Arabidopsis thaliana: one gene and its partner. Each later gene encodes a partner of the first gene's protein in a complex. Each region holds a gene or a part of one and is shown on either strand. Other genes may lie near its edges.

Region 1 (7,876 bases):
AGGATCCAAGAAAGTGAATTATCTGCAAGAACCAACAATAAAACTTTAGGACTTCAAAATTTTCCAGGCCGGACTTCGGCAACCACATCAGTTCCTGCTAGCATCACCTAATCAGTTTCTTATACTCATCTGAACTATACCGTCTACTACACCTCTTGAAGACAGAGAGTCTACAAAACCAAATTGAATTACAAAAATGATCTATGCATACTTAACTATAATAACGCTTTTAAGCTTGAATAACTCGATTTAGCAGAAATGAATAGTTTAATTGTCCGTTGGAGTTGCAATCGCATTGGACATCAAGTTCATCTCTTTCGCTTCTCACTATCTAATCTTTGTCAAAGTAATTAACCAGAAGCTTCAAGTCAAAGAACTTCAAGGGATTTTATACGATATCTTATCTCTATCATCTACTTTTATTTCTTCTTCTTTCAATTTCATCTCTCGCAATCAAAATCGTCAAGCGAATGCGAAAGAGATCTTACTCATGTGTGTTAACCCCTAAATTATTATTAATCGAATAAGATCTTGTCCAAAAATGTTATCTTTTTTGTTGTCCGTCGCTATTTCTGTTTAGTTCGCCAAGAATTTGTCATTGTCTTTACGGTCTTTATCATTAAATTAATTATAGTATTATAATCTTTAATTACTTAATTTTGAGCGTATAAATCTCTACTAAATGTTTATGAATATTTGATTCATTACCAATTTTAACTTGAAATCATGCTAATTTTATACTTTTAACCAAAAAAAATCATGCTAGTTTTATCAATTTCCCCTAATTTATTTGCGATTTGTTACATACATATAGAAAATAATAATACATTTTTTTTAGTGTTGTGGACCACGTCCTCTAGTTTGGTCGTCGAGTTCTGACTTTTTCATCACAAAGATAAACATCTCAAACAAAAAGCTCACACATGACCCAAGAACCCTAGAGAGAAGAAGAAGAGGAATGAGAGAATTCATCCTCGATTTTGAAGACATCGCCGAAGGATTTTGTTGGTACTTTCTTCTTCTCTTTGACTTTCTCTCTGACTCCATCATCTCAATTTCTCTCTTCTTCTTTGCTCTAATCACAGACTTCTCTTCTTTCCTCTTCTGTCTCAATTTGATTTCTTAAAAAAACAAAAAAAAAGATGGGTTTAATCAAGAACACAGTTCATTACTGTTGTGTCTCAAGAGACAATCAGATTCTTTACTCTTACAACGGTGGAGACCAAACCAACGAGAGTCTTGCTGCTCTGTGTTTAGAAAAGTCTCCTCCTTTTCATACTTGGTACTTTGAAACTATTGGTAAAAGAAGATTTGGGTTTTTAATTGGAGATGGGTTTGTTTATTTCGCCATTGTTGATGAGGTTTTGAAGAGATCTAGTGTTCTTAAGTTTCTTGAACATTTGAGAGATGAATTTAAGAAAGCTGCTAGGGAGAATTCTAGAGGAAGTTTTACTGCTATGATTGGTTCTATTAATGTTGAAGATCAGCTTGTTCCTGTTGTTACTAGACTTATAGCTTCTCTTGAACGTGTTGCTGAGAGTAGTAGTAACAATGAATTGAAGAGTAGTAATCTTGGTGAACAAAGCGAAGGTTCGAATTCTACTAAAGCTCCGTTGTTGGGGAGGTTAAGTAAGCAAGAGAAGAAGAAAGGGAAAGATCATGTGATTGAGCTTGAGGAACACAGGAAGTCTAATGATAGAGGGAACATAACCGATGATTCAGCGGGAGCTGGAACGTCGTTGGAGAAGGAGTGTGTGTCGAGTAGTGGACGTTCTGTTACTCAAAGCTTTGAATGGAAATGGCGGCGGTTAGTTCAGATTGTTCTTGCTATTGATGCAGCTATTTGCTTGACACTGTTTGGTATTTGGTTGGCTATATGTCGGGGTATCGAGTGTACACGTTCGTGATTGTGCAGACAGAAAATCGGATAAACAGAGTCGATTCTTTACATTCCCTTGTGCATTCCAATAGGCAAAAAATATGTTGATTGTAATGTGAAGCATTCTTAAGTTATAATTTGGCTTATGTATTGCTTTAGTCACAGCTTTGAAATATGTACAGTCGGATTCTAGATTCTGTTCAGTGTTCTTTGTGACTTCACGATACAGTAACGTCCATCTTTATATGATTTAAATTGTTTGAGCTTCAACTTCAAACTCAATCCTCTTTCAAGTTCCCTAAGTAAGGCCCTCACTAGCAAAGAAGCTGGCTTTGAGATGCATAAGGCTTTACCAACAAGTGTATTGATTGTATGATTCGTTCCAACAAGTGTATTGCCACTGCAGTTCTTGTTGTTACCGATCAACAAAATGGGAAGTAAAAAATGGTAGGTAGATAGGAACCGATCCGAAAAAAGTTCCGAAACCGAACTGAACAGTCACAAAATCCGAACGGATAATGAATTCACCTACCCAAATTACTTCAGCCGAATCCGATTCCGAATCAAAAACCGAATAAATATCCGCTAATCCGAAATAAAATTATATCTATCTAAAAATATTAGTTACAGGTTTATACCCAAAAATTTCTAAATAACAAAAATATTAGTTACAGGTTTATACGTCCGAATTTTTAAGTTATATTTGTTACAATTATACAATTTTTTTTGCAAAATTAAACCAATTTTATTAAAACGGAACAATATATATTTTTTTTTCTCAAAAACCGATCCGAATCCGACACTATCCGAACCGAAACCAAACCGAATAGTCATAAAACCCGACCGGATAATAAACTTTCCCATCTGAATCCGAAAATCCGAACCGAATCCGATCCAAAATCCGATCCAAAATGTGAATGTCCATACTTAAGCTCCGACTAAGCAAAGCAATACAACAAGAGAAATTGTACAAAGAGGAAGTAGTACCGATAAGTGCCAATGACCCAATTTTGCAACTATTGGGCCATTTTCAAACACCAATATCAGGCCCATTAACAGATTGAGAGAAACCAACCTCCCAAAAGAGAAAAATCAACAGAACCAAAACAAAGCCACAGTATCTCTCTCTCTCTCTCTCTCACTCACATCGTCTCCTCCATTTTCACCACTAAAACCAGACCAAAAACCTTCCTTTATTCGTGCCCTTCTGGGCCAACAAATGTTCACAAGCGGTAACGTCACCGCTCGGGTCTTCGAACGTCAGATTCGAACTCCTCCTCCCGGCGCTTCCGTCAGTCCCCAAATCTCTCTCTCTGTCTCAATCTCTCAATCTCAATCTCTCTTTTGCTTATCTCTTTACCTTCAATGATAGGTAAATCGTGCAAGACACTTCTACGAAAACCTAGTCCCAAGCTACACACTCTACGATGTCGAATCTCCCGATCACTGTTTCCGCAAATTCACAGAAGACGGACTCTTCCTCATTAGTTTCAGCCGTAACCATCAAGAACTCATAGTCTATCGTCCTTCTTGGCTCACTTACTCCACAACCGATGATTCCACAACCACCCTACCTCCTCTACCTCGCCGTGCTTCGAAATTCGACAGCTTTTTCACTCAACTCTACTCAGTCAATCTCGCTTCTTCTAACGAACTCATCTGCAAAGACTTCTTCCTCTATCACCAAACTCGTCGTTTCGGTCTTTTCGCTACTTCAACAGCTCAGATCCATGATTCATCATCTCCTTCTAATGACGCTGTTCCTGGTGTTCCTTCCATTGATAAGATTACTTTCGTACTTCTTCGATTAGATGATGGTGTTGTTCTTGATGAGAGGGTTTTTCTTCATGATTTCGTTAATCTGGCTCATAATATGGGTGTGTTTCTTTATGATGATCTTTTAGCGATTTTGTCGTTGCGTTATCAGAGGATTCATCTTCTTCAGATTAGAGATTCTGGTCATCTTGTTGATGCTCGTGCTATTGGTTACTTTTGTCGTGAAGATGATGAGCTTTTCCTCAATTCTAGCTCTCAGGTAAGCAAAGTTTTTACAGTATCTTTCTCTGGAGTAGATAAAGTTTTGAGCTTTGTGAGGTTTTTGATTGTTAGGCAATGATGAGTCAAGATAAGAGTAAACAGCAGAGTTTATCTGGGAGTAAGGAAGATGATACTGGAGAGAATGGGTTGCGTCATAGTCTAAGTCAGCCAAGTGGTTCGAATTCGTTTCTTAGTGGTGTTAAGCAACGGTTACTTTCTTTTATCTTCAGGGAGATTTGGAATGAAGAATCAGATAACGTAATGGTTCGTTGTTCTTCAACTTCTCTTATCACTTTATGAAATTGCTCTGAGTTTCACAATCTTGTACATTAAATGGGTTATGTTTGTGTACTGCTTGGCTTCCTCTGTTAGATGTTGAGTAGGATAACAGAAGTTTAAGGTTTAGGATTGATGCAGTTGACAGTGACTTCTTAGTTGATGCAGCTTATCATATACATGCTCTTTGCATTTTCGACCTTTCGTTGTAGTTTGCAATGTGTGTCGTATTGAAACACTACATCTTGGATACGAACTAATCGAAAGGCACTATTTGATTTGACAGAGAGTTCAAAGTCTTAAGAAGAAGTTTTATTTCCATTTCCAGGATTATGTCGACTTGATTATATGGAAGGTAATCAATTATGTGTTTCTGCTTTTGGAATCTGTGTCAAGTGTTTGGATTTGATGGTGAAAAAAACTAATCTTTTGTGTATTCTTGATGTCCAGGTTCAGTTTTTGGATCGACAACACCTGCTAATCAAATTTGGAAGTGTAGACGGTGGGGTAAGCTCTCTATAATACAAATTCATGGTTACATTGAACTGATACTGTCATTTTCAGAAATTACAATTTGATTGATTAGACTTATGATTGTTGATGGGTTACTCAGGTAACAAGAAGTGCTGATCATCATCCAGCTTTCTTCGCGGTGTATAATATGGAGACTACTGACATTGTAGCATTCTATCAGGTAAAATGGATGTCATTTTGGCCAGTTATTTTGTGGAATTTGCATCTACTTATAACTTGACTTAGTACATTACTATATGCAGAACTCAGCAGAAGATCTTTACCAATTATTTGAGCAGTTCAGTGATCACTTTACAGTATCAAGTAGTACACCGTTCATGAACTTTGTAACATCGCATTCTAACAACGTCTATGCCCTTGAACAACTAAAATACACGAAGAACAAATCAAACAGTTTTTCTCAGGTAAGTACATCTCTGTATTTCGATATGTTGGTTTTTATGAGAGAGTTGAATCTAATCAATTTTTCTATACAGTTTGTGAAGAAGATGTTACTCTCTTTGCCTTTCAGTTGTCAGTCACAAAGTCCCTCCCCATATTTCGACCAGTCTCTCTTCCGGTTCGATGAAAAGGTAACCATTCTATAAACCCTTATTCTCTTCAACTTCAGGATTGAGTTAAGTTAATTTCGGATATGGTTACAGTTAATATCCGCAGCAGATAGGCATAGGCAATCCTCAGACAACCCAATCAAGTTCATATCTCGAAGGCAACCGCAAACCCTGAAATTCAAGATAAAACCAGGTTGGTTGTTTTAGTTGTTTAGATATTAAGATGACGAAAACCCAAACCGCACGGAACATGATTTAACGTTAGGATTGTCTAATGGTGAACAGGACCAGAGTGTGGAACTGCAGATGGTCGAAGCAAGAAGATATGTTCATTCTTGTTCCATCCTCATTTACCACTTGCCATCTCTATTCAACAAACACTTTTCATGCCACCTTCTGTCGTCAATATCCATTTTAGGCGATGACTCTTTTTGGTTTCTATCAGTCTAGTAGTCTTCCTACATGTTGTAATCTATTGTTTGTAACAAAAGTTCAGTAAAACCTCTATAAATTCCGAGTTGGGCCGATGTAAAAATTAACAAACTTCGATAAAATAATAATATAATAATCTTTTGGAAAGCTTTATATAAAAATATGGTTTTAATGTCTTTTAAGTATTGAATCTTGTTAGAGTTTGTCTCTAACTTTTATTCTATCAAACAATTGTTTTGTCTCTAAGTCTGATTGAATTATGTTGGGGTTTTCAATTGTCAAATTATAGAATCGTTTATAACTTTGTAAAAAAATTAGCCATAATGTTTTGTAAGTTTCTAATTTCTTAGTATGCATCATTTTCAATTATAGTTTTTGTGATTTATTGTCAAATGAGCTTTTTAAATATTAAATTTTCAATTATATTACTATAAAATTTATAACATCTCATAGTTTCTAAAATTTGAAAAATTAAAACAAATATCTCTATAAATTAATAATTTAAATTTAAATTAATATATTAATTATAGATAAATTATTAATCACTATAATTAATAAAATATCATACTTCCATCTTTATTAATTTATAGAGGTTTTACTGTATCTCAAAACACATAATACATGCAAAAAGTGTTTGAATCTTAAAAAGGAAGAAATAACTAGGAGGTGTTATTGGTTCCTAACTAAAAAGAAATTTTGAAGACTTTAATAATATCATATAAAGTAAATAAATGAAAGATTCTAAACTATAAACTATTTGTAGAGAGTTTTCAATAATATTATTGATTAGTTTTTCACAAGGTTCAAAAAATCGGCCTAGGCGGCCCGATTTTAGTGAAATCGGTGAATCAAATAGGGTTTTCGGTTTAAGCGTTCAAAATCAGTATTAACCGGTCAAATCGGCCAGTTTAGTATATGTAAATATGATCGTTTTGAATAAGTGAAAAATAAAGTAAAAGTACTTGATTACTAAACTTGTAAGTTAGCAATTAATTATTCTCAAATTTTCAGAATAAGTTAATTTAGTTTTCATAGAAATTTTGTGTGAATATACATATATTATAAATTCAAATAGGTAATATTTTCAACATTTCATATATTTTAACCAATGTTTTGTTATAAAATTATGAAAATGTTTAATAAATTTGTAAAATGATGTGCTAACGCCTAGGCTTTGCCTAGCCCCCGATTAATTGATCTAGGCGTTAGGCCCCTATCGAACGCCTAACAATTTTTTGAACATTGGTTTTTTACAATCTTATAAAGTTTCCAAACAATCTCTATATTTTAATGATATTTTCATGACTTTATTTTGTGAAACAAATGGTAGAAAGTCATAAACCAATTACAAAACAATTTAATTCATCTACAATAGTAGATTCTTTTGTTTTAATTGAATAAAACAAAAAAAATTAATGACTTTATGAAAGTATTAATCCATTAACTCCAGATTTGTGAAGATTTTAGATTACTTTTCACAAATCTTAAACTAATAATACAAAACTTTAACAAATTTTTCAAAAAATCTTATTGAATAACAACATATTCTACATAACATTTTAAGTCACTAAAACTCTATTTAAATCATAAACCAATAACATACCTTTAGTATATATGTTAACAACAAAACAAAGAAATTGTAATTTTGACCGACAGTTGTAACTTACTCACAAATATATATATTTGTAGATCTCATAAGTCATAACTTTCATCTCCGAACTCTAGTTTCTTTGGATTCAAGGTATCATAAAAACCTAGTCTGTCTTTAAAGCTTATGACGAAGAGAAACATAGTAGATCTTCCCGAGGATTTGGTAATGGAGATACTCGCGAGGGTTCCGACCGTAACTTTGGTCCGATTACAATCTACATCCAAAAGATGGAACGTTCTGATCGAAGATAAGAGATTTGCTGAGCAGCACTTTACTAATGCACCAAGGCACTCTCTGCTTATCATGTTGATGACCTTTAGGGTTTATCTCGTGAGCGTCGATCTTCATACAATTCACAACAACAAGGTAAACATAATAAGTCAACTTCGCCTGAAAGATCCTCTTTCAAATTTTTTAGAAGAAGTTGATATATGCAACGTCTTTCATTGCGACGGCTTCTTGCTATGCACCACCGTAGACAATAGACTCGTTGTTTCGAATCCCTGTTCTCGTGAT
Region 2 (6,682 bases), on another chromosome or scaffold:
TTTACTTTTTGGGTTCCTCTTCGGTGGGTTCACTACACTAGTAACATCTCTGAACCTGTTCTCTGTCTCTCAGCAGCAAAACCTCGAGGCTTCTTTTTCTTTCATTCTCTCAATTTCTTCTCTCTGATCTGAATTCTCGCCGAGTGAATCTAGAACCAGGCAAGCTCCAATTAGGTACTTTTGTATATAATTTCTTGATTTTGCATCTGGGTGTTTCATTGTCTCACATTGCTGTCTTCGCTAGCTTTTCATTGTATCTTCCACATTCTTCCTTGCTCTGCAAATCCAGTTTCTAGAGCACATGTCTGAAAGAACGAAAACGACAAAAGAGTTAAAGATTAAAAATTGTGTCTTTTCGAATGCTCGATGAGTTTGTTTACTGTTTCTCCCCTTCTGTTCTCAGAACGTTGCTTAGTTTCCAGACCCCATTAGTTTACTTCTGTCGGAAATCCTCTGTTTTCTTAATAGCCATGAGATAGTTATCTAAAATTGCTTTCTTGAATTCACCAAAAAAAAAAGTTGCTTACTTATTTTTAGGGTTCTTACCATATTTGACCAATTATAACTCTCCTGAAAAGATTAAAAAAAAACAACAGTTTTTTCTGACTTCAGAGTGAGAAATCTACAATCCATTGTTATATTAGGTTTCAAATTTCTGTTAAAATCATTAGCATATGGCTCAATTTTGAACCTTTTCAGAGTTTTTGTAGGTTTAAGGTTTTCAAGCACTCTGTTTCCAATGCTGCTTCCGAGATGGTTTGCAGAAGCGTTGTTGCTCCTACTTTCAATTCTTGCCTGTTCAAACGGTAAATTTCACATGTTATATCTATCTCTAAGTTTACTTTTTTATTACTTGGTGAAGTTCATAGACTCTCAATGTTAATCTGATTCTTTATACAGCTGCATTTATCGGTGTAAACATTGGCACTGATCTCACCAACATGCCACCGCCTTCAGACATTGTAACACTTCTCAAATCACAACAAATCACACACGTCCGTCTCTATGATGCTAATAGCCATATGCTCAAAGCATTTGCCAACACTAGCATCGAAGTTATGGTCGGTGTAACCAATGAAGAAATCCTCAAAATCGGACGGTTTCCTTCAGCTGCAGCTGCTTGGGTTAACAAAAACGTCGCTGCTTATATTCCTTCAACTAATATAACCGCCATTGCTGTTGGTAGTGAGGTTCTCACCACGATTCCTCACGTGGCGCCGATTCTCGCCTCTGCTCTTAACAACATTCACAAGGCTCTTGTGGCTTCCAATCTCAACTTTAAGGTCAAAGTCTCCAGCCCTATGTCTATGGATATAATGCCTAAACCGTTTCCTCCATCTACATCTACCTTTAGCCCGTCGTGGAACACCACGGTTTACCAGCTTCTTCAGTTTTTGAAGAACACTGGTTCCTTTTTCATGTTAAACGCGTATCCTTACTACGGTTACACAACCGCTAATGGGATTTTCCCGCTTGATTACGCTTTGTTCAAGCAGCTTTCTCCGGTGAAGCAGATTGTTGATCCCAACACGCTTTTACATTACAACAGCATGTTTGATGCTATGGTTGATGCTGCTTACTACTCCATGGAAGCTTTGAATTTCTCCAAGATTCCTGTTGTAGTCACGGAAACAGGCTGGCCTTCGTCTGGTGGAAGCGATGAAGCGGCTGCAACAGTCGCTAATGCGGAGACATTCAACACTAACTTGATCAAGAGAGTGCTGAACAACTCAGGTCCTCCTAGTCAACCAGACATACCGATAAACACTTACATCTACGAGCTGTACAATGAAGACAAGCGGTCAGGACCAGTCTCTGAAAGAAACTGGGGGATTTTGTTTCCAAATGGGACCTCGGTTTACCCTCTGAGTTTGAGTGGTGGCTCTAGCTCCGCAGCTCTAAACGGTTCATCGATGTTCTGCGTGGCTAAAGCAGATGCTGATGATGATAAGTTGGTTGACGGTTTGAATTGGGCGTGTGGTCAAGGCCGAGCTAACTGCGCTGCCATTCAACCGGGCCAACCTTGCTACCTCCCTAACGATGTTAAGAGCCATGCTTCTTTTGCTTTCAATGACTATTACCAGAAGATGAAAAGTGCAGGTGGAACTTGTGACTTTGATGGTACGGCTATCACTACGACTAGAGATCCTAGTAAGTTTTTCTCATTTCCTCTGATCTATGTGTTGCAATAATTCTATGTTTTCAAGTTGTTTCCTCAGAGTAAATCTCAAATTCGATGGCTTGTGTGTTTGCAGGCTATAGAACATGTGCATATACGGGAAGGTAACGATACTAAATTTATGTCTTGTTAAGTTTTGAAAATGAAATCTGCTCCTAACTCTTTGAAATCATTTTCCATTTATCTCAGCTTAAACGCAAACGCTACTAATGGAAACTTTCCTCCGGATGCGTTAGGACCCGCAAGTCCATTGGGAGGAAACGCAAACGCACGTATCATCTTTAGCTACCATCTTCCCATATTGGCACCGTTAGCTCTCACTCTACTACAACTGTTGCTTCAGCATGACCGCCTTTTGTAGAACGTTTGCCAAAAAGCGGTTTTGTAGTAACCGGGGAAGTCTACCTGTGGCTTGGATTGGATTTCTTACGGTTACCGGTAGTTACTGTGTACTTTGTTTTTAGTGTAAGTGTAACTAGAGACTAAAGAGGGCTCACAAGTTCCCATTCTTTTTTTTGTCTTCATCTTTGAACTAAAATATTCGAATTAGAGTGATTTAAATTTCATATTCAAATGAATCAGTGCATTGTAGGAGAGTTTACGTAAATCATGTTATTCATAAAAATTGACAGAGTAAATTTGATTATGTTTAAACAAAAATTAAATTGATTTTGGATAATTTCAATTTTCTTTCCAAAATGTGTGCCTTTTTCAAGAACTTTGAATAATCATTTATCAAATTATTAAGGATTCACGTGGTTATAACATGATCACATTACACAAAAGGACAAGAATATTCGATAATTCAACTTAAATAAATTTGGTTGTCAAAATGATTACAAATTTATTGATAGTGATTAGTGAGAGAAAATAAAAATAAAAAATACATGTTACAAAATTAATCTCCACGTCAGCGATTACTTTATTTGTTTAATTGATCGGACAAAAACGCGGCGTTTCGAAATCTTTTCCCGATGGAGTGCGAGCGAAACGATCAAGTGGTGGATTGGATAAGCAGAGAGTATCGGAAGACGACGACGACGGGAGATGATGACACCTGGCGGAAGCGGGAGGTTGAGACCGTTACCGACGGCGATGTACGCCGGATATTCAGGAACGGCGTCGTCTTGGGTAGCGAAGACTTCAGTTTCTGCGTCAGGGAAGAGGATACAGAGGGAGATGGCTGAGCTTAACATTGATCCACCTCCTGATTGCTCAGCTGGTCCAAAAGGAGATAATCTCTACCATTGGATCGCCACCATCATTGGTCCTTCGGGTTTAATTCTGATACTCTCTTTGAATATTTGTAGATAATCCGATTGAAAATTTGTTAGGTTTTCAAGTCTTTGAATTTGGTGTTTATGGAACTTTTGCAGGAACTCCCTATGAAGGAGGGATCTTTTTCCTGGATATAATTTTCCCATCTGATTATCCATTCAAGCCACCTAAGGTATGATCATGGATTCTTTGGTTAACACATTTTGGGAGCTTTACTGATTTAGCTGGTAATGATTTAAGGTTTAGAAGTTTTGATTTCTAATGATGATCTCTTTAGGAAGAACTATTTAGTGAATATCAATGAGTCTTCAACTGCATCACATTGAAACAGAGATCATCTAGTGTCTCAGACTCTCAGTGTCTAGCATATTATGTAGTTTTATTGCTTTCAACATAGTCTTAGGATACATTTTGTAGCAAATTTCTTGAAGTTTTGGGTCTAGTGATAGTCAAGCTATAGGTACTAATCTAGAGCTTGCACTTTTATTACATCTGTCTTTTTGGTTAAGTTGGTGAGGTTGATTTGCAGTTGGTGTTCAAGACTCGGATTTACCATTGCAATGTTGATACTGCGGGAGATTTAAGTGTGAACATTCTAAGAGATAGTTGGAGTCCAGCCCTTACAATCACTAAAGTCTTACAAGCCATCAGATCTATCTTCTTAAAACCTGAACCCTGTAAGTTTCTATTCTACTCTCAGGCTTCAGATCAGACCATTTCAAGTCCTCTGATGAAATGACCAGCTCATGTCAGATCTACCTAAGAGAACGTTTTTAAAAAAAAGTTTGTGATGAGTTTTGGCCAACAAACATAATAGATGTCCGCATCTAACTACTGTATTTAACTTCCATAGTAAATCTCTATTGTTCTTATTCTTTTTGCTTCTTCTTCATCGACCAGATAGTCCAGCTTTACCGGTGATTGCACGGCTCTACTTGACAGATAGAGAAAAGCATGACGAGGTAGCCAAAGAATGGACATTGCGATTTGCCAAGTGAGATCTTCAATACGAGGAAAAGACAACTGATGTATTATAAATACACCTAGTTCTTTGGTTAGTTAATGGTCATCAATGTACATTCATAAAAGTGGAACCACAATGTTAGATGGCCAAGAAAATTGTTTGCTCAGATAATAGGCAACAATGTGAGGTAGGACCAATCCTCAACAACTCCAATTTATTGAAGGTTATACAATTTAGTGTCAAATCTTTTCGTCAAGGACTCGAAAACCAAAGATCATATATGGTCTGAATATAACTGAGGAATTGTTTCTTTTATAAGAAAACAAGAGCATTTTGTTTTGAAACAAGAATAGTAGGCCATAACTTCTAGAGAAAAGCGATTACAGATGAGATAATTAAACTGAAGAGTATTAGTTGGTACCTAACATGTTCCATAATCTTTATTGATTGATTATCTCCAAAAAGAAAGATCAAACTTTCTATTGAAGACACAAGTGAGACTTGAGAGACCAAATCTACCGGTCAATTCTTTTCGTTCTTTTAACCTAACTCTGTTTAACATAATTATCACAAATGGTCAGTACATATCTATCTACGCATGGTATATATAGAGAATATGTAGAACAGCAGTGTTAAAAAAGAGTAACATATTTTGAGTCTCTGCGACTAATATCTTCATATCGGTACGTTGTAATATTTATCCGTTAATTATACGTGTGTTAGATGTGTTAGTGTATATGCAGATGAATATGTCATTTTATGCATCACATGTATATACTCAATTTGTTTATCTTATTTTTTTATTTAATGTTCCCCTTCGTTGGCATCATATATATTTCTCTTGAAGTTTTGAGTAAAACCTCTAGAGATGTTGGAAGATATATCCAGTATATCGACTATATATAGTATCCAATCTTATGATGACTATGTATCTAACACTAAAATTTTGTTAATCAGAGTCTTAGGTTTACGAATTTTTTGGCAATAAATCATTTTCGTCTAAATTTGGTTGAGCCAGAGACTATCGGTTAGTTAATTATTTTTGCTGCTGTGATGTGAACCGAAGGGTCAAAGAGAAGGTTAGGTCGGAGCAGCATAGTCGCATGCGAAGTTCGTTTTAAGTAAAAAGTAAAAACTTATGTAAATTAAACGTCAATTATTCTAACCGCTAATGTTGGTCTATAATTCAATTTTCCTAGGCTTTAACTAAGGGTAGTTTATATGGCGTAAATGTGGGAACGTGTGAAGAGTCAATGTGAAAACGGCATGGTGTTCTTTTTGGTTTTAAGTAACGAATTCTAGAGGGAGAACGCACGGACGAGAGACTGTGATGAAGTAAGCATATATATACATAAAACTGTGTTAAACAATAAATCTGCATGCATAGGTAAAAAACTATATCTTCGACCAACATTGGTCTTACTATAAGATACGTAAATGTGAACTACGCAACAAACTTTGATTTTCGAACTTATAGTATATCCTCATCGATAAAAAGAACCTATAAGTTTCAACTTATATATACAACTCATGAATTGTGTCTGAAATACTTAAAACAAACATTTTTGAGTTTTAATTTAGTATTACATGAAAATAGAGTTTTATAACCTCAACTCGTGTGGTGACGCAAACACATAATAAACCTATAGGCAACATATATGTTTTTTTTTTCAAACAACATATATGTTATTATCGTACTTTAGTATGTAAACTGTCCGGAATATGTTTAATAGCTTATAAAGTTTAGTGTATTTTTGTTTTCAAGGATATGAAGTTTAACGTTAGCACTTAGCTAGCCTGTATTGTTTACATTAAATAAACTTCTTGAAGAAATTAAACTTAGAAACATATCTAGTACCATAATTTAAGATTGTGAACATGCTTATTAGTTATCTGTATTTGACAAAAGCTTACCACGAGTCTTATTTAACGATAGTGATGATTCATTTATTCGCAATAGATATATCCATATATATAAATAGAGGTTTGTGTACTCAGTTACACTCACAATTTATGGTTTTATAATAATCACACAAATCACCACAAAACAACTTAGTACACATATATGCCAACCTTCTAGATCGCATCTGTGACCCCTTCTTGAAGCATGGTAGATATAGAAGACATCAAGATTCGATCAACTATATATCTTCCTGTATCTAGTCATGTCCTAAGCTAGAAGACGACGCTCCAACAATCCCATCCTTACAATCATCCATCTGCAAAGGTTGAGATATTGGGATAATATTACCAAAAGGATC

Evidence for each region. The genes of interacting proteins can lie anywhere in the genome.
Region 2: DET1 (region 1) and FUS9 share a complex: the UniProt entries of both Arabidopsis thaliana proteins name them as parts of the CDD complex.

The regions. Positions count from the first base shown.
Region 1 is NC_003075.7:6,343,445-6,351,320, forward strand, and holds DET1 (light-mediated development protein 1 / deetiolated1 (DET1)), read left to right. Parts: upstream 1-2,966; 5' UTR 2,967-3,098; coding exon 3,099-3,170; intron 3,171-3,251; coding exon 3,252-3,914; intron 3,915-3,988; coding exon 3,989-4,180; intron 4,181-4,478; coding exon 4,479-4,547; intron 4,548-4,642; coding exon 4,643-4,699; intron 4,700-4,805; coding exon 4,806-4,886; intron 4,887-4,968; coding exon 4,969-5,130; intron 5,131-5,202; coding exon 5,203-5,298; intron 5,299-5,370; coding exon 5,371-5,470; intron 5,471-5,562; coding exon 5,563-5,702; 3' UTR 5,703-5,870; downstream 5,871-7,876. Other genes in the region: AT4G10170 (SNARE-like superfamily protein), read left to right, coding at 1,143-1,907; AT4G10190 (F-box and associated interaction domains-containing protein), read left to right, coding at 7,484-7,876. UniProt on the Arabidopsis thaliana protein: Component of light signal transduction machinery. Involved in repression of photomorphogenesis in darkness by participating in the CDD complex, a complex probably required to regulate the activity of ubiquitin conjugating enzymes (E2s).
Region 2 is NC_003074.8:4,421,342-4,428,023, reverse strand, and holds FUS9 (Ubiquitin-conjugating enzyme family protein), read left to right. Parts: upstream 1-3,129; 5' UTR 3,130-3,226; coding exon 3,227-3,455; intron 3,456-3,555; coding exon 3,556-3,629; intron 3,630-3,986; coding exon 3,987-4,134; coding exon of another isoform or gene 4,135-4,196; exon of another isoform or gene 4,197-4,357; coding exon 4,358-4,455; 3' UTR 4,456-4,787; downstream 4,788-6,682. Other genes in the region: AT3G13560 (O-Glycosyl hydrolases family 17 protein), read left to right, coding at 740-806, 901-2,151, 2,256-2,283, 2,369-2,540; MYB5 (myb domain protein 5), read right to left, coding at 6,581-6,682. UniProt on the Arabidopsis thaliana protein: Component of light signal transduction machinery. Involved in repression of photomorphogenesis in darkness by participating in the CDD complex, a complex probably required to regulate the activity of ubiquitin conjugating enzymes (E2s).